2 linked regions of the Drosophila melanogaster genome follow. The protein of the gene in region 2 interacts with the protein of the main gene of each other region in a pairwise test. Each region holds a gene or a part of one and is shown on either strand. Other genes may lie near its edges. The genes, in order: Mes2 and CG11768.

Evidence for each region.
Region 1: the proteins of CG11768 (region 2) and Mes2 interact in a two-hybrid assay, tested with the Drosophila melanogaster proteins (one large-scale study listed by BioGRID).

Annotation. Positions count from the first base shown.
Region 1 is NT_037436.4:22,942,485-22,953,865, reverse strand, and holds Mes2 (Mesoderm-expressed 2), read right to left. Parts: upstream 8,210-11,381; 5' UTR 8,080-8,209; coding exon 7,926-8,079; intron 7,872-7,925; exon of another isoform or gene 7,682-7,871; intron 7,597-7,681; coding exon 7,296-7,596; intron 3,335-7,295; coding exon 2,476-3,334; 3' UTR 1,618-2,475; downstream 1-1,617.
Region 2 is NT_033777.3:8,763,774-8,771,849, forward strand, and holds the start of CG11768 (uncharacterized protein), read right to left. Parts: upstream 4,419-8,076; 5' UTR 4,347-4,418; exon of another isoform or gene 4,302-4,346; intron 4,022-4,301; 5' UTR 3,561-4,021; intron 1-3,560. Other genes in the region: CG8236 (uncharacterized protein), read left to right, coding at 5,732-6,235, 6,299-6,574, 6,632-6,817, 6,893-7,249; CG13318 (uncharacterized protein), read right to left, coding at 7,507-8,076.

The sequences.
Region 1 (11,381 bases), on a different chromosome or scaffold from region 2:
TTACTTACTTTTCGAAGTGTCTAGTATATCCTTTTACTCCAAGAGTAACGCATACAATTTTCTTACGACACGTCGGTGGCATCGGTTATTAACTGTAATAAAAAAGTTTAATTGGAAATTTGTAAGACGGTACCATTCGTGTAATTTATAGGGTAGACCTTAAAGAAGTTTATGTTTATTTTTACAAAAAGAGAATAATAATGCAAATAACAAAGTATATCACACGATACTTCTGCAACCCGACGATTATGTACTATGCTGATGTTGATGAAGCCTAGCACCAGTTTTTCTATTTTCTAAATTTCTTTATTATAGCAATTTGCTATAGATGTCAAATGTTGATAAAACATATGTCAAAATTGTTAAATAGAAGTAAACGTTTCATAGAAGAGGCGATTTAGTAATTGTAATTTGTGTGGTTTTTGAAAATATATTAACGTGTCCTGAGTATTGTTATTCACCGATATGGTTCTAAGCCATTTCATAACTTCCACTGGGTATACCATGTCAGAAGTTTGCAGTGAAAGATAGTAGTATATATGTACATATGTTATATTCGTAATAAGTATCAAAAAGTATCTGCCAGTCTGCTGCAGAAACTGGTCTTGGCTTTAAAGCTTTCTACAAACAACTTTTATAAAAGTATTTTCTATTTCAGGCAGTATATATGTATGTAAGTTGCAACGGGCCGGATCCGAGAACTATATTGCTGATATATAGTTGACATACTCGGTCCAATTTTAAGTTCCAGTTTAACGAAAATGTTGGCTCTTTAAAATTGTAAACAGCCGGCCACGGTCATTGAACCCGCTTCTTTTAGCAACAGAGGTGCTAACGCAGGCAGCATCCCTTAGGGGCACTGCATTACGGCCTTCAATGAATTCATTCAGCTATTATTGCGTTGAAAAACCAGTTTTGGGCTGCGTCGAGGCTAGGGCTGAGTTTTGGCATCTTCTGCGCATGCGCAACGCTCTTTTTGGGTTTAAGGGTTTGAGGTAGCTAGATACCTTGGCCAGGCCGAATCTCTTGATAGGGGTTGCTTACCGTAGGTTTCGATGTGGCTATGTATTTATCTTAATAAATTTTTCGGTCATATGCAGCGATACCCAGGCTCGATTCGCCGTTTTTTTTGGCTAGGCTTACCCACATCTGCCTGCCATGGTATTTATACGTTGTTGTAGTCTTTTGTTCCTTTGTTCTTCGCCTATACGTCCTCTGTATTAATGAATTGGAATTCCTGCAGTCTTACTTGAGCAGAATTGGCAGGATGCTATATGGATGTGTTACAGGCCCAATGTGAGTGCTTTCCATTGTCGTAGGGCTGTTGTTGCTATTTGAGTATCATATTCAAATTTTGTTTAGTTTAGGAGCTTTAAGTATGTAGATTTACACCGAAACCAACAAGAGGAAAAAAATCCCCTTTCGCATTATTAATAATTTGTATACCTTTGCAGAAGGTACATTGATTTTAGTCAGATATTTGCCACACAGTAAAGGGGGCATTTGCAACCGTAAAAGTTATAAATGCTCCATCAATGTGAACTGCCTAGTCTATAAAGCTAGTCAGTCGTGAATGCCATAGCAATAATCGCAAGAATAAAATGGATAACAAAGTTTCCTGATTTGGTATCGATATAAAATATTTATTCCTGACTATAAATAATTTCGGATTTAAATTAATAAAAATCGGCTGATTATGTTCATGTTCGGTAGACACGTTTGATTTTTTTATATTTAAAGGTACTTTATTACTCAATATCCACCGAAAAACGGAAAACTTTTTCAAAATTTTTGATTTAAATTGGGCTGAATGGCCAAAACATTGTCTGCGTACATCGATAGCAAAGCATTACTGCCAAAGATGGTGTTTTATTCAAAAACGACAAATTGTTAAAGCTGTTCTCATTTAGTGTTCAGATATTGTTAATATTCATATCGCTGTATATGAAACTATGAGTAATATGCTCGCTTTTTTAAGTTAAAAACTTTTCTTTTCTAATTTCTACGTTTTCAACTTAACAAGAAGTTATATTATATATAGGCGATATAATCTGGGTAAAATAAAAGGTTATATAAAGAATTGTTTCATGTGATGAGACGTTGGCATGAGTATGAACTACAGTTGATCGACTTAAAACGAAATTAACATTTAAAGCTTAATTAATCTATGTTTCTTATTTTGCTATTTCTTGGTTTACGTCTTTGTGTTGTCTTTTCGTTGAGTTTGGTTCATTTTTGTTAATAGGAGCGAAAAAATTAGAGAATGTTTTAGAAAATCATTCATATTTGATTGATCCTTTTGGTATGGCACAGATTTGGCATTGGCAAGTAAATTTGTATTTCTTTAGGAAAGTAATATATAATGGCAAGAAAATTCAGTTATAAGTGCTCTGAGCAGCAACATCATTCCATTATGTACTTTTTTTTGGCTACTATAATTACACCCGTACACTTAGCGCTCTTCTCCTCCGCTGTCTATTTCGTGGACCCTTCGCACTGCTGCACTTGAACCAGTAAGAGAAGAATGCGATTCATTAAATTGTCCGCGTCCGAGTCCTCCATGCTGTTTAGCTTGGCTGAAATAAAGCCGCAGAACTTGGAGTTCAAAACCTCACGTACAGTTTGTGGGGGCGGCAGATCCAACCCTCCGCTTGCGACGCCCTGTTGCTGCCGGAGATGGCGGTGCTGTTGCAGCATTTGTTCTTCGTAGTCGTCACCATCGATAACCGCATCGCCGTGACCGTTTCCTTCCTCCAAAACATCTTGATCGACGTTACGGCGAAGCTTGCGGGACATGACCACATCGTCCACACCAACATTGGGGCTACCGCGTGAGTTGGAATCCAGAATCAGAGGATAAGGGAAATCTGCATCGATGGCATCCAACTCCTCCACTACGTCGGATGCGTGGGCGATATCTTCGTCCCCGCTGCGTATCGAGCTGTCGTCCATGTCTTCATAGCTGTGATGCTGTGCCCTTTGCTCGTTTCTCGTTGAGCTCACCCGACTGTCGTTGTGAGCCTGGTGAGCGGGCAGAGGAAGTGGCCCGCCGCCGGAGCTACTCCCACTTGTGCTACTTCCGGCCCCACCGCCCACCGAGAGATCCAGCTCCGGCTTCACATAGTAGTCGCAATAGTAGTGATCGTCGCTTACATTGAGCGAGGAGCACTTTGAGAGATTTAACACTGAGGCGGACTCGTTAAAGGAATTGGACAGCTTCAGGGTCATTGCCTTTCCCCCTGCAGCCAAGCTGTTACTGTTGTTGTTGTTGTTGTTGTTATTGTTAATATGGCCATAGGTTGTCAGGCTTAGATCGGTTGCATGCGAAGCGCCCCTATAATAGAAAGAACATATGTTAGAAGACTAAATTATTTCACATTTTAACGGGTTTAAGGTTGGGTTTTACTTTTGCGTCATATTCAATATTCATATTCGCAGCAAGTCTGCGGTATTTTTTTATTTTGTATTGATGTTAAGTTGAATACTAATAAAAATTTGATGAAGGAGGTTGTTTAAAAGGGCATACAAAAAGATTAATAAATTTATTAAATACAATAACATATAACCGTGACTAGTGGTTATGTACATTGTTTTTAATACACTTTAAGAACCGCCTACGTTCTTAAATTAAAAGTAGAAAGAATACTTTTCTTTGTCTCTCACACATCATTTATAGTATAACAGATTTTCTTTCTCTTATCTTAAATTATATTAATTACAATAAATAAAAAAATATTAAATAATGCTGGCAATAATCATTTGCAAAACGTTGGGCAAAAAATTAGAAATAGAATAGTCTGAAAGACAAATCAATAAGTTCGTAAAACTTTGCTAGGTTGTCATCAACTAATTAGCTTTGTTTTATGCCGACGGACATTGCGATCGGATAGTGACCCTGATAAGGAAAGCATGTTCGTATTAATTGTGAGTTCGAAAACACACAAAAATATAATTGTATTAGCCTTATAGAGTTCATATGTTTCCTGTGACTCAACGATTCATATCCCCATTTTGAAATCTTGTCTGTTTAAGGCAATAACACAAGAAATGCATAAACATAAATGTCTTTCAGTGTAGTATCGCTTCCTGTCTCTCTCCTTACGCGTCTCAAGTTTCAAGAGCATTTTCACAGGCAATGCAGCTGCCTGGGCCGGGTGCTCAAAGAACATCTGAACGTGGCTATTTTGGGCCTCCCCCATACCTATAGTTATTTGCCGAATGCAAAGACCTGGCCTAGTGGTAGGCACGGGCATGGGCGACCTAGAAGACAGCCTTATCACCGCAATCGGCTGCAGGTAGTTGACAATTGTAAAATTTGAAAACTGATACTCGCTCGCCAGCCAAGACCAAAAAACTCGCAGGACTAATCGAGTCGAAATACATTTTCACATGTTCCACAATCGGGAATGGCTTTATTTACTTCATTATTTTGACTTGGTTTCTTTTCGGGGTTTGAATCGCTCAGCTTATCATTATTTGCTTCCGCTCTTGCTTAGGTCCCAAGCCGTTTTCCGAGATTGTTTATGGGTTTTTGTGGTTTGAATTCGTTTTCTAAAATCTCTATCACCTGCACTTGGAAACAAATCTATGAATATTAATATAATAATAACATAATTAAATATTCCAATGGTCCGAATGAGATTTTAGATTTTTGCAGACCTAGAACTTTTTATTATGATTTATTAGGCAAGAACTAGCTCCATGCAAAGGCATTTAAAGGTACGAGAATCAAAAGGCAAGCACGGACTACCGCCCACTTTTCTTCTTCCGTGACGCATTGGCTAAAGCATTTCAATGCGAAATACGGCGGACAGTGATTTCAGGGCGTGGGGCGAGATTCGGATTGTGGGGATGACGGACAGCCAAACAATTTCAGCAATTTCGCAGCACATTTGCTTATTAAATCATAAGCGTGACACAGACAGAGCCCAGCAGAACTTTCACACCCAAGTGGCCTCGTGTGTGTGAGGGTGAGGGTACGAGAGCCCCCCATTAAGAGAGGACTGAACGACGAAAGCATGTGGGCCAGGGCAGCCTGAAAGAGGCGTCCAGACCCCGACTCTGGGTCTCAGCAACCCCTTGGCCGGGACGCGGCCGATGCGGCTGGCTAATGGTCGTGGGCATATTTTTAACCCTGGCCGAAGTCAGACCAAGCTATTCGTTCAATTACTCAGCTCACCCATACAGCGATCTTTACGAGTGTTCGGTGCTCATGTCATACACACACAGGCAGAACCTCGCTCATTTTCCCTTACCAGCCCCTTTCTCGCTCACGAGCTACCAGTCTTTCCCAACTTGGTCCACTCGCAATCCGTATTCTTCGGTGCTGATTGTCATTTTCGTAGTGCTCTCATTAATTTATCGCTCTCTCGGCGCCTTCCCATAGTCCCCACCCCTCTCGCAAGCACTATTCGATGGACTTGGTCTTGCGTTTGCAGCTTCCCTCAATTTCGTTTTTGGTTCAAGCAGCGACGATGCTGCGACGTTGTATAATATTCGCCGCTTGGCGAGATCTGTGTTATGGCTATGGCTGTGGCTATAGCTGCGGCTATAGCTCCGGCTCAAGCGCTGCCCGACTGGCCGGGCCCGTTGAGCTGTCTGTTATCAGCTCACAATAATAAAAATTTAAATATATACACACACCATGGGTGAGTGTGCGCGGGCATGTGTCGGGGCCGTCGACTGCTTGTTGCCCATGTGGGTACAGTCAATTGAAAGGAAATGGCCTTATTTCATATAAATATGTACATAAAGTACACACACTCACACACACACACACACCCGCAGCTCGAGCACGGCTCCATATGAGCCAGAACATTGGACGGGGCAGACTCTCGACTGAGACCATTTGCGGGTCTCTGGCCCGGTCATTCCTTTGTTCGGATTGGTTTTTTCCACATTACCGCTCCTTAGTGTCCATATGCCCCCTTGCCTTGTTTTTGCTATTCTTTTTCGCTGGGCAGATGTTTTCTCAGACACGGTGCTGAGATTTGCTCGAATTGTTGGGCGTTTATGCAAATCGACTGGGCTAAGGGATGAGTTTTGTACGAAGGCTCGAATGGAAGTGGAATTTCGTAGTTACGGTTCGAATAACTTTATGCTAAACTTATCACATGTTTTTTATGTGACAATTGTATGTATTGTCTATTCGATCTGAACATATTTCCGAATTCTCAATTTATTTAAATTGTCAGATCTTTACGAAGTCCGTGATTCTATGATTTTTGAAATAAATTTATTGACATATTTTGTCCAACATTAGATCTAAGCCATGACTCACAAACTCATACACTTCTCAGTGTACATAAGCTGAAGTGGCTACTCGCATAAAATGATAAGATTCTTGGAATTTCCTGCAATAATTATTTTTGATTGAGCCAAGCTAAACAACATTGTTCGCTTGACTGACTACTGACAAGCACACATATTTTTAGGGGGGCAGATTCGGAAAAACCTCTTTCAGACACAGGACTGGAAAGCATACAATACCTTCGACCAATGTAAATGATCGTTGGAAAGGTGAGTCACATTATTATTGTGTATAAGTTAGCTAGTCTTCAAACTGATGCATGTATTTGTTTCGCATGAATCAATCCGTGTATGACCAAAACAGAAGACCAATCTAAACCGAAAACTGTTATTCACGACTCAAGCCAAACTTTGACCGTTGTTCGATGGTTGTATGGTTAGTGACGGCTTATCAAACTCATTGTAATATAAGTAGCCAAATGTACTCCTGACACAAATAATGTTCAGAGTGTAAGACGATATTATTGAAGAACTGTAGTCGTAAGGGAGCATTACTTTTGAGAAATAACGGTTCCACTTTTAGATTTGTTTTGGTATCGATCTCCAAAAAGCAGAGGATAAGAATAAGTACGTTAATTAAGATCATTTTGGGAAAGGTAAATATTGCCTAGAAAGATTAAAAGAAAACTTGGAAATAAGTGCAATACGTTCTGTAATAATTATTCGTTGATATAGAATTTCATGTACTTTACTATTCGATTATAAGAATGACTCGTATTTCTGTCAAATTTTAAATTTAAGCGCTCTTCTCTCGTGTTCTATTATTGCTTTTGCTTTTGTAAAGCCATTTGGATGAAGATCATTTTTAGTGACATGATTTGTGGTGTGGCAATAATGGGTCAAGCAGAGAATGCAAAATTCATAACGGGCTCTATATTACTGGTCAACCCCAGGAGTCGATATTGGCATGAAACTTCCTTGACGGTTTTAAATTTAAGAGAATCACCTGGTCACCAGTTCACTAAAATACTATTCCTTATACTTACTTTCGTTCTCTGATGACATCGCGCAGGAAATCCATGGCCTCATAGAGACTCCACTTGGGCTTGAAGCCATTGCCCATTAGCTTGACGTGGGCGAGTTCACGGCGGTAGGATTCCCTCAAGGACTTGAAGGCCCGTGCAACGCGACGCCCGGGAGCGTTGAACTCGCGGCCTATGTGCTCCCAGGCTCGGTTCTTTTCTTCTTCGGCGCCCTTGAAATTCGGGAGACGGGAGTCCCAGAGAATTGGATTGTCGTGCACCATTTGGATGAGCTTCAGCTTGTCGGAGGCGTTGCGCCGAACCACTGTTGGGACACAAAAATGAATGCAAATAATATAAGTCCTCGAGTCTCGACAGTCGAATATTTTAAGAAAGCACGGTACAGGCACCTCAAAACTTCTATAAGTCGAACTTTTTTAACCCAAATGTACATACATACGTATGTACGTATATGTATGTACATTGCACATAGGGTGAACCGAACTATTTGAATAGGCAATGAAGAGATAAAATAAATTCTACTGCTTGTTCGACGTATCGACTTTCGACTGCATTTTGCATAAAAATTGTACATATATACATATGTATGTACGTATGTTTGCATGAATGTGGGGAATAAATCTGTGTACGCACATTTCTTTATCTTCTGAGAGGGCATGGCAGTTGCGGCGGCCAGGGGGTGGGGCTCCAACTTGGGCTTCATGTCAAGAGCGATTGCCGCGGCGGCAGCACTCATGTCCTGCAGCGAGTGGGTGGCGGTGGGCAAACAGCCGCTCACGGGCGCCATCAGAATGTTCTGGAGGATTTGAAGGCTTGAACTGGCCAGGGCTCCACAGTACTCTTTAGTTCGGACGCGATCGCGGTCGGCTGATAACGGGGCTGCTACCCTCTCACGACCAAGTTTAAACGGCAACTAAAAACCAAGACCAGAAAATAACAACCACCGCGGCAAGCGGGCTGCGCTCAGCCGTCGTCGACGCCGAGCCGGCAGCGCAGTTGGCAGCAAGCCCGCATTCAGAGCCAAAAAATCACGCGCATTCGACATCGACATGAGAGCCAGCTATAGCTCTTTGCGCTCTCTGTCTCTCTCCGGCCGTGGCTCGCTGCCACCGTTCCCGTTATCTGATCCAGACATATAGGTCTAAAGCGCTCTCCGGGCGCTGCCTAGAGCGCGACTCGCCGGATGGAAACCCCGTTTAATCGCAATCACAAGCCACAGAAAGTAAAAGCAAGCGAAAAGCGGCGTCGCACACACACACACACACAACAGGGAGAACGCGCAGAACGAAACAACAGAAAATGTGTGTAATACAAAAATCCGTTGACGCGTTCGCATTTGGTTTTAGCAGAGGAATTGTCGAGCGTTCGTACGTACTTGCATACATATGTATGTATGTACTACATGAATGTACCATATACACATGTATGTACATACATACATACGTACCAAAATACTTGGATAGCGTTTCTTGGCAGAATACGCTGCACTTCGGCCATATCAGCTTCAATTAATATAGGGGGGTCGATTCCCGTATCGGAACAATTTCGAGGAATTTAAAGAATTCATGACTATGTACATATGTACATACATTTATTGTAAATCTCCAACGCATTAAGGTTTTAGACTAACATAATAATTATAAGTTTACTGGAGTACACACATACATATAATCTTGATCTGTCCGCCTGTCCGTTCGCATGCAAGTTAGTGCGTTCGCAAGCCTATCCAGACGCCATGAAACCGTTTATTGGCCAGGTATCCTGCTCTCAGTTGTGAAAAGGGATTTGATTTTCATTTCATTTTGTTATATAAATGTAAATTTCCATCGAAATGACAAAAAAAATCTCAAAATTCGCTGAGTAACGGGTATCTGATAGTCGAAAGTAATCGACTATTGTTCTCTCTTGTTTTAAATAAATAAGAAGAGAGAACGCACGAGTTCCCCGAATATCAAATACCTTTTACTCAGCTAGTGGAAGTGAGAACGCGAAATTTCATAATTTTTTAGGACCATCGATAGATATTGGACAAGAAGAAATGGGAGGTTTGTGGTCGTTAGAGTGGGCGTGGCATAAAGTTTTTGTAGCAAATCGATAGAATTTTACAATACTAATAAAAATGTGAAAAAAAGATATAACATATTTTTCAAATGTGTGTCCGTGACAGGTTTCTGCGGCTTACGGTCGATAGTGGGTGTGGCATAATCGATAAAAATTTATAATTAAAAAAGATGAAAAAATATCAAAACTTTTTTAAAAGTTTTTTTGCAAAACCATACACATTTGCAAGACTAATAAAACTATGAAAGAATATCAAAACAGTTTTCAAAAGTGTGGGCGTGACAGTTTTGCCCGACTTGTGGGCGTGGAAGCAAACTGGCTCTGTGTCTATGTTTCTAGAATCTGTATGCATAATCTTGACCTTCTAGTTCTTATAGCTCCTGAGATTTCGACGTTCAACGGACGGACAGGCTATTGATCCTGATCAATAATATGAATACTTTCTATCTGTTAAATACTTTTTAACGAATCTAATATACTCTTTTATACTACGAGTAACGAGTATAATTACTGGAAGATAAATAATTTTGTGTAGAATTTACGATATAAGAGCACAAATTTGTTGTTAAATGTAAAGAGGGCTAAATATACTCATCGGACGATCTGATTCCATCAATGGCTGGCTGCTTGACTTAAAGATTTATAATTTTTTTCCAGGGGGCCTGGCCATAGCTTAAGCAATGAATAGTTGAAGAAGGGTGGGTTAGTGTTCTACCACAGTGTGTTTTTGTGGACTCCGCCCGTGGCTGGCTTCGTTCGCTGCAGTTGTAGAGTCGAAGTTCAGTTCATTATCGTATTTCCCCGTTTATAGAATTTACAAATGAACATTTGGATCACACATGTTGGTCTTGCCAAGGAGTGACAGGGAGGCACCGAGAGTGTTAGAGTGAGAATGCGTTTGAGCGAATGCGTGTGTGTGAGTGGCAGCACAGATAAGACCGTCCGAGGTTGTCTATTTTGTCCCCCGATCATTTAAGCCGCTGAAATCCAGTAACTGCAATCGACAACCGCGTCGGTAGGGAAGCAAATGGCGAACAGAGAGCCAGAGAAAAATGAAAACGCTTTGTCTGTACGTAATTTATGCCTAATGAACTATTTCCGGCCAAGTGTCAATTAATGTATTCTGTTTTGGGACAACAACAAGCAGCACAACGTGCCCGCACAAACGTTGTCACGATCATTTTTCTGGCAAAACTCTGCGATCTCCGCCCTATATCAGATTCCCCACCCTCCTTACCAAGGCAATAGCTTGCTTCCGCTGCTGTCTTCTCTTATCCACAGCTACATGCATATGTATCTGGCCAGATCTGAAGATTGCCTGAGCTATTGGACCGTTTGTTCACAGAGCGCAAGGGTATACAAGGTTAGTTTATCCACAATTTACTTACATACACACAAACTTGACATAGACCTGATATCTGGATTCCATCAAATCGAAATAGACGAAAGGAATAGACGAAAGAAATATAACATAATTCTCAGATTCGGGCGTTATAGTGGTCGTGGAAACATGAGTCAACAAACTTGCGCTGCGTCTATATCTCTGGAATCTCTAAGCTTAATCTCAACCAACTTCCAACTTTTATAGTACCTGAGATCTCGACGTTCATACGGACGGACAGACGAACGGACAGGCCAGATAAACTCGGCTATTGATCCTGATCAAGAATATTTATACACCGTATATGGTCGGAAACAATTAATTCTGCATGTTACATACTTTTCAACGAATCTTGTATACCTATTTACTCTACTTGCTGTCTCTCATAGGTCTTAACTTTGATTTTACAGACTAGCTTGCATTCAATTTATGGACCCCCGAAGAGACTATGTTTACATATAGAATTTAGATCTATTTCGAAAATTTCTTACATAAAAATTGAGAATTCTAAAACAACTAGTTATTTTTAAGCTTATTAGGTAAAAAATTAGATTTTAAATTGGATTATGTTGAAAATAAGTGCATCTTAAGCCTTCGTGATATGAATACTACATTGGCTTAAGTACATTTTCTATCGGGGATTTCTC
Region 2 (8,076 bases):
AAGTCAAATCAGCCCATTTATCAAGTCCTGGAAGCCCTCGGTTGGCCAATATTGCCACGCAGGTCAGGACCGGTTTGTGCTTATTTTTCAAACTGGCTGGCGGATGGAAAGTTTCCCTCTGCCATATAATATATATTAAATATATACATATATAATATTGAATTTCAGTCACTTGTTTTTGCCAATTTTCCAAATGCGCATTTCAATTGAGCAGTGCCCGTAAGTTTTCATTTTCAACCAAGAAAAAAAAAACAGAAAAAACATTTACCCAAAAATACAAAGAAAAATACGATTTCAGTGTTTGTGGGTAAGAGTCGGAAAAGTTTTCTTTTGGGTTCAAGATTCCATGGAAAAATCAGCTAAAGAAGTTTCGCAGTAATAAAGTTGATAACGAGCTGAGTTTGCCGAAAATTTGGTTCGCTAAAAGTGCTAAAATATGCACCAATATTCAAAGATCTTTCTTGTCAGTAATATTTGTAGACACTAAAATATAAAAAAATTGTTTTAAAACATTTATAGGGTATTCTGAACTTTAACCTCAAGTTGATATCCATTAAGGCATTAAGAAGGCCACACCCACGACGCTGAGTGGCCATAATTTGATATGGCAATTGAAATAATATATACGTGTGTGTATATACAAATTAAGGTCCTTATCTTTGACATGGCTCGTTGCTTAATTTTCTTATGTGTGCCTGAATTATTAATGCCACTTTTGATCACTTTGCATAATGAAAAGTTCAAAATCGTTATCATCATCACTGAGTGCTCTCAAATTAGGGCTAAAAATGTCGCATGTCTTGCCAAATTTTTAATACGTATACATTCTGAGAACGTGTAGAAAAAAGTTGCCTTAAAAAGTCTGAGGGAAGGAAAGAAAGAGCGGCCATATTTTGTAGACTTGGCCATGGCCTAAGCCACCACCCACCGAAAAGTCACCCGCTGACAGCAATTACAGGCCATGTTTTTGGTGCTTTGTTACTGTCTTACTGCCTTCATGTCATATAACAACGTTGTGCAATAAATCAAAAGTTGCCAACATAAAATTACTGTTTATGCTTATGCTATAGTTAGCATACCACGCTTAAACGTTGTGATTTGTGGCTAATTTATTTATTGCGCGCCCCACATAAAACCAGCCAACACACTTTGCCAAACAAAGCCAACTTATGTCAATGAAACACACCATAACTATAAAATATTGTGACGTGCCACTCGACTGTGTGAAATGGAGCACAAGGCCATCTAGTCAAACAATGGCTGACAAAGGAGGCCGAGACCGTCAGCAAATAGTGCCAGTCTTCAGTTTTCGGCTCCCAGTTCTCCATTCTGGGTGCCCACTACTCGGATGTGGCGCCACAATGCAGGACTCGCACTCCCCCAGACATGCAGCATTGCCGATGGCCATACGAGGATGCGGGTATCCATATGAAGACTGCCTCTATTCCCTCAAGTGTTCTTGTTCTTTAAGCAAGTTGCAACTGCACAGTGGAAAACTTCTTAAAAAGGAAGCTCTAGGAGATTAATGAATGTGACATTGAAGGTCAATCAATAGTTTCTATCATCATAGTTGAGTTCCTTACATTTAATTGATACAGCTCGGAATAGAAATATCATCTTTTTTTTCTACTTTGGCCAGTGGCGCATCTGTAAAATGCCTGGCTCCATGTCTTAGATGCCCCCACCTGGTTGCATTCAATCCATACCTTGCCAACGCCGCGAGGCAAGAACACACAACACAAGAATGGAGAATGGGAACTCCCCTGACATGTTGGCCACATGTCAAACGCTTCGATTTTTTTGCCCTCTGCCATGGAAAAGTTTTAAGGCAGGAGAAAAACAGGGAGGAGGTGGGGTTATGTACCATCCTTGCCAGATTGACATTGCCTGTTCTTCTCAATGGATCGAACTGCCAGCGTGCGGGGATTGCATTGTAGTCCTTGCACCTGATAGGAATTTTCCGCACTCCGCGCTCGTTGAAGTGCTCAATGTGGAAATGTCGAGATTCCCAATCAAAGTTATCACCATCCGAAGAACACATCTGTGACACGGGCTTGGCTTCCGTCAATCGAATAGCAACATTTATTGGATACCTTTCAGATGATTACCATGACTGGGTAAATATTTTGCAACCTGAAAGGCCATAAAGCATATGACTGCATACATCAGTCTGTGTGCACATTTCACTCAAATGCATCTCATGTGTCATATAAGCGCTAGGAATCCGTCGCAAAACTGTGAACAACTCGCCTGTCAGCGCCATCACTCATCATTTCAAGATACTCTTCAAAGGATACTAATTAAGTTTGTTCTAAAGAAAAGCCTTCTGAATATCTGGTTTTTAGACGAACGGATAAAAATGTATTTTTAATTTGAATCATCGAACTTTCAGATGCAATTTGTTTTTTATTGCCTTGGGGCTTGTTTTAGAATCCTAATTTCTAAGCACATTTTTTATTGCAAGTCATTAAAGTTGTTTTGCAATTGGGGCGTTTTTCATAATTTAAGATAATACCGCCATACTTTGAAGGCAATTTACAAATAAAGTACAATTTTTCAATTACATTTTTAGGGCATTGACCACATCGGTTTGTTTCCACGCCGCAGTTTTTCTTGTTCTATTAAGAGCTTGTCGCACGGCTGGTGGAAAATGTATGCATTTGACGCGTTTGCTTAGCTGATTGCGGTCCTTGTGTCCTGCGGCGTGGAAAAATGAAGGATCGGGTGACGGAAGGGGAACGTGGGGATACCACGCGTACCCATATCTCTTGGCCACACGCACAGCGGGAAAGACCACAGAAGAGAGTACATGGCACAACAAAAAGCGAATTATATTTTCATATTAAACGACGTATGAGTAATCCCCCGTTCGTGGAGGGTCAGCAGGACATGCAGGACATGGATATGCCATCGCATCGCAACAGCTCTTCCTCCCGCGGTATACTCACCCATATCCTCTCGCAATGGCGCGCTACCCACAATTCTCATTTATTTATAGAGTTCTCTAGAGTCGAGAGCTAATGTCGCTGCCATCGTTTGCAGATTGACAGGAAGCGGAAAGGGCCAAATCGAAATTGAGATTTTGGGGGAATCGGGGTAAGTGCGGGCGGAAATATTTTAAATATTCATGCTTATAAATAGGTGCAGGAAATTACACTTACGCTTAGCATTCAATTTAAAAAAACAAATGGAATTGAACTCAAATCATTCAAGGACCATTCTGGACTTAAAGTAGAAGAAATCAAGCAAAATGAAAGTGTTCAAGGAAACTATCAGGTCGATATGCAAATTAAATTAATTCGAAAGCTGTTTTATGCAATTCCAAATATGCATTAGATGTACATGCATTTCTCAATTAAGCTCGAGTGTTGAAAATTGTATTTGAGTGGCGGGCATGAGCTGGATTCGAAAGATGTGTTTGGTTTATGAACGAAGACATGGCTTTGGTTTGGCTAGTAGACGGCACAGAGACAATGCAAGGCACTTAGTTAAATGTGTGGTATTTAAAATTAATTGGACACTCATGGGGGAATGCATGTGGATGTGGGAGGAACACTTACGTAAAACGGCACAAGGACCAGCTACCTGTTACCTGCAGCTAATTAGCCCAGGCGGATAAAAGCAATGCACGATGTTTGGACAGTCGATGATTCAGGTTTCAGGACTCAGGACTCAGGATTTAGGACTCTGATTCTGATACTGATTGGCATGCATTCTGGCCCACAGACACCAATGCAAACACAAACACAGGCACAGACACAGGCACGAATACAGGCGACATAATGGTGTGCGTGTTTGTGTGCGGACTCAAGCACACAAGCACAAATGGCGGTTCGCGTAGACAAACATGACGTAAACCCAAAAAAGTATGCTACAAAACTTGGTTCGCCTTTCGCTTACGATTAGGGCTCTTAATACGTTGGTTCATTTGGGGCTCTCGGCTTTATATCTGTTTAATATTTGCATTTTTCTTTTTTTTTATTATTTTTGATCTCGCTGGCATTTGGTTTCCCCATTCATTCTGCAATGGAAACATCAAAGAGCAAACATTTTAATTGGCATTAAATGTCTGTGGGAGGGGCGTAAGCGCCGTCGGCGTGTCACTCCGACTTGATGGCGACATGAAGGCCATTAGGTTAAGTCAACTAACAACACTAGCAAAGTGTGTCGCATGAAAGCACAGCATTTAATCAGGAAATAATGCTCCGTTTAATGGCCATAGATAGTATTCATCTTCACTGGATTACACAACACTGCTTCTGGCTTTTGACTTGGCTGAAATCAAGCGAAACAACACTAACACTTTCTAGCATTGGCTATAATACTGAGGCATTTGTTGTTGGTACCACTTGGAACGCTCTGCACTCGTCCAGTGTCCTTTTCGATCCGAACTCGCGACTGAAACGCTCGAAAGCCGAGGACGGACTGAAGGAACTCCGTCTAAGGACTCGCTGCTCGGCTTCAATCGGCTCTTCGAGTGAGTAGTTGCAGTTGGCACTCGGCTGTTTGAGTGGGATTCAGTATTAGCATGACTGCCTTTATGGCTGAATTGTTGCTTTGCCTTCCTGTCGTTTGCCGCTTGCATTTTTTACGCGCTTACTCGGTTCGCCGCTTATTTTTATATCCTTTTTGGATTTTCAGTTTTTGTGCGACGTGATTCATTTCCGGTTTGCAACGGAAGGGACTTGAGGTGAGTCGGATGCCACATTAAATCATTGGAATTGCCGCAGACAAATTTTATAAATGCAAATTAGATTTTAAAATTTTTCTAAAATATCTTATAAGTTACCACATTTTCTTAACAAATAATTATTGTTACCTAAATATAATAGAACGTAAAATTATTGAAAGCTGATATTTAAAAAATACCAATCAATATATGATGTACGCCTTAAATCACATAACTGAACCTTTTCCTTTTGTGCAGGCACAGTCTTTATTAAATTGTACCGAATTTCATAAAATTTGCATGCCAATTTCACGCCGTGAATAAGGGAAATTGGAGGGGTTATTCGGGGGGATTAACCCCTTGGGCATTGGCTGCAAATGAGTGGCTTGTTTATGAGTGGGACGCAGCTAAGTGAGCATCAAATGGCCAGAGGTGTCTGCCTTTGGGATTGTGTGTGCGTGTGGTGTCTGTCTGCCCATCCATGAGTTTGCACACACTGAAAGCAAAGTAAAACAGATGGCTCGGGCAACCTGTTGGCTTTTGGGTATAAATTTTAGCCCGACTCCGCTTGCTTTACCTATGCTTTCGTTTGTGTGTGCCACTCTGATTTTTTGCCACCCGTCGGACATTCTTTGTGTTCGCAGCGCACCAACGGGTCGTATACGCAATTATTGCCATAATGGTTTCACTTAAATCGTTGCCCCAGCAGACCCGGCCGTCTTTAAGCGGGTCACTTAAAGTGACTCTCTATGCAAGTAAAATCACTAAGATCAGCAGACCTTCACCTTTCTAATAAACTCTGATGGGTTATATTTAATAAATACCTTTAAGCAAATAAGTATGTAAGTACTATGGAGAACATCCTCAAGCTAATGTGCACAATTTAGAATCAGCTGCCTAAGGTTATACGATATAGATTTCAGCAGATGGTGTGTTACACTCGCCTACAAGCTCTGGTTGTCATAGAACGAAACTCGAATGTGTATTGAACAAACAAACTGAACGAAAATTCCGATACTCCACCGGCGGCAGTTTCGTTATATATTCTTTCTAGTCGCAGACATGTCAATTAGGAGGGAGCACCAGTATGGGTCGACTGTGCGAAACACGATTGTGGCGCGGTCCAATCGGCCAATTATCAACCGAATGTTGCGATCCGCCCGACTGGACTCCACGATTGGTCAGACTACGGCCAAGCCAGTTAAGGCCAAACGGATGGAGACGAAGGCGCAGCTCATGCAGAAGGAGCGATCCTCCAGCACTGGGATGAGCGGATTCTCCAAACTGACAAGTCGTGAGGGACTGGTGGGCAAGGATTACTGGAACGCGGCCATTGAGGATGTGGAGTTCAGTGCCGCCTGCCGCTTCCAGCCGCGCATTCCCGTCATTGACTATTCCCTTGTGCTGCCGCCACGATTGCGCGAGAGGGTCAAGCGCATCCAGAACTATGACTATTCCAAGTCGGACGAGGACATCTACATCAGAGACGAAATGCAGGAGGTGCGACCCGAGGACTACATGAGCGCCGAGAGCAGCGAAAAAAGTGAGGAGGAAGAGGACCACGTGGTAGATATGGAGTAGTTTTGAGCCTTTTCCACAATACCTTATATAAATCCTCTGATAATTTAGCTCCTTGAAATTGGCCGCAAGAAGGTGGAGGAGTACTTCAACGAGAGTGACCACTCGGATATTGTGCGCATGGAGCACGAGTTCGAGAAGTTTGATCTGAAGTTGGATGAGCCGGTGGGACACACCCATCGATTCGTGGACAAGTCCAGTTGGTACGCCAAGTTTCTGTGCGCGCCGCGCGATAAGAGAGTCAGCTGGCAGAGTCGCGTTGAGCATCCGGGCCAGAACTTCTCCATGGTCACGCTGGACGAGCAGGCTGAGAACCTCATGGATGCGGTTAGTATGGTTACCCTTTTCTATTACATTATATCCTTAAAATTCCCATCTCCACAGTCGGCAGAACGTTTTGTCGAGTGGCTGAACTCCTTTGGCACCTTGGAAAGCAATTTGACCCCGGAAAAGGTCAAGAACCTTTTTTCCATCAAGGGCGATCGCACCCTGTTGGCCTCCGTGAAGACAGATCCCAAGGAGGTCAACGCCATTGCTCAGACAGTGGCCGATAAATGGAACAAGCCACATGTAGGTAACGATAGAGAAATCCCCTTATAATCAATATACAAGTTATCCAGATTATTAATTATATTACATTTCTAGATGGCCATTGAGCTTAAGTACGAGAAGCACATTAATGACCACGCTACCCGAGTGAACCAGAAACCCCTGCTAAGTGCATTTGGACGCACTGTTCCACTGAAGGATCGTCCGTGGTTAAAACGATCCGGGGACACCGTCATTAAGACAGTCTATCCGGATGATCTGCTGACCCGCGAGAAGATCTTTAAGGGCATCACCCACCTGCGGAGCACCACTGCCCTGATCGATTTCTATCTGGCCCATCCGGAACTGGAGCGGCCACAGTATCTCCTGCAGAGCGGTGACTTTGAGGAGTCCAGCGCCAGTGAATCTGTGGCTGAGGTGCCGCTCTACGAACTTCTGGGATTGCGTTATTAAGCCATTGATTGCCATTACGTTGATTAGTTAAATTCCCTGTTGTCTGAATATGAATGGTTGCAGTCAAATATAAATAAATTGTCCAATATGTTTAGAGAAATATAAACAAATATACATAACATAAAATGAAATAAATTTTAGTCTTATTAAATGAATGTAATGAAAATCGTTTTAAAATTTTAAATGTTATATTAAAATGTTTTCACTAAGAAAAGAATATTAAGCAAGCAGTAAAGTTTATTGTTTAAAATTGGTTTCTATAACGTCAGCGTTGTTTGGATCCAGGGCAGATAGGTGCCCACATTGACATAGACACCCGGAACTCCTGCCTGGGCGCATCCAATGCCCCAGGCCACCAAACCCACCACGTACCATACACCATTGCTGGTGCAGACAAGCGGAGATCCCCCATCCCCGGTGCAGGCATCCTTGCCAGCTTCTCCGCCGGCACAAATGAAGCTGGTGGGACTGAGGACGAAGGAGGAGCCCAGTCGGGTTGCCTGCAGCGCCGCCTGGCAATTGGCATTGGGAATCAGGGGCACATCCACTTGCCTCTCAATGGCCTGGTACGCTCCGGTGGCACCGAAGTCATTCTTGCCCCACCCAGCTACCCAGCATCTCTGACCCACGAAACTGGTGGTGGGCAGACAGACAGTGCCCACAGTGGATTTGCTGGTCAGCGAAACGGGTGTGGACAACTTCAGGATGGCCACATCGTTCTGCAGATTGTTGGGATTGAAGGACGGATTGACGTACACATTCGAGATGTACACATCCTGGGCGGGAATCGGTTCGCTCGTACTGGCAGCATCCCATTCCCCCAGACG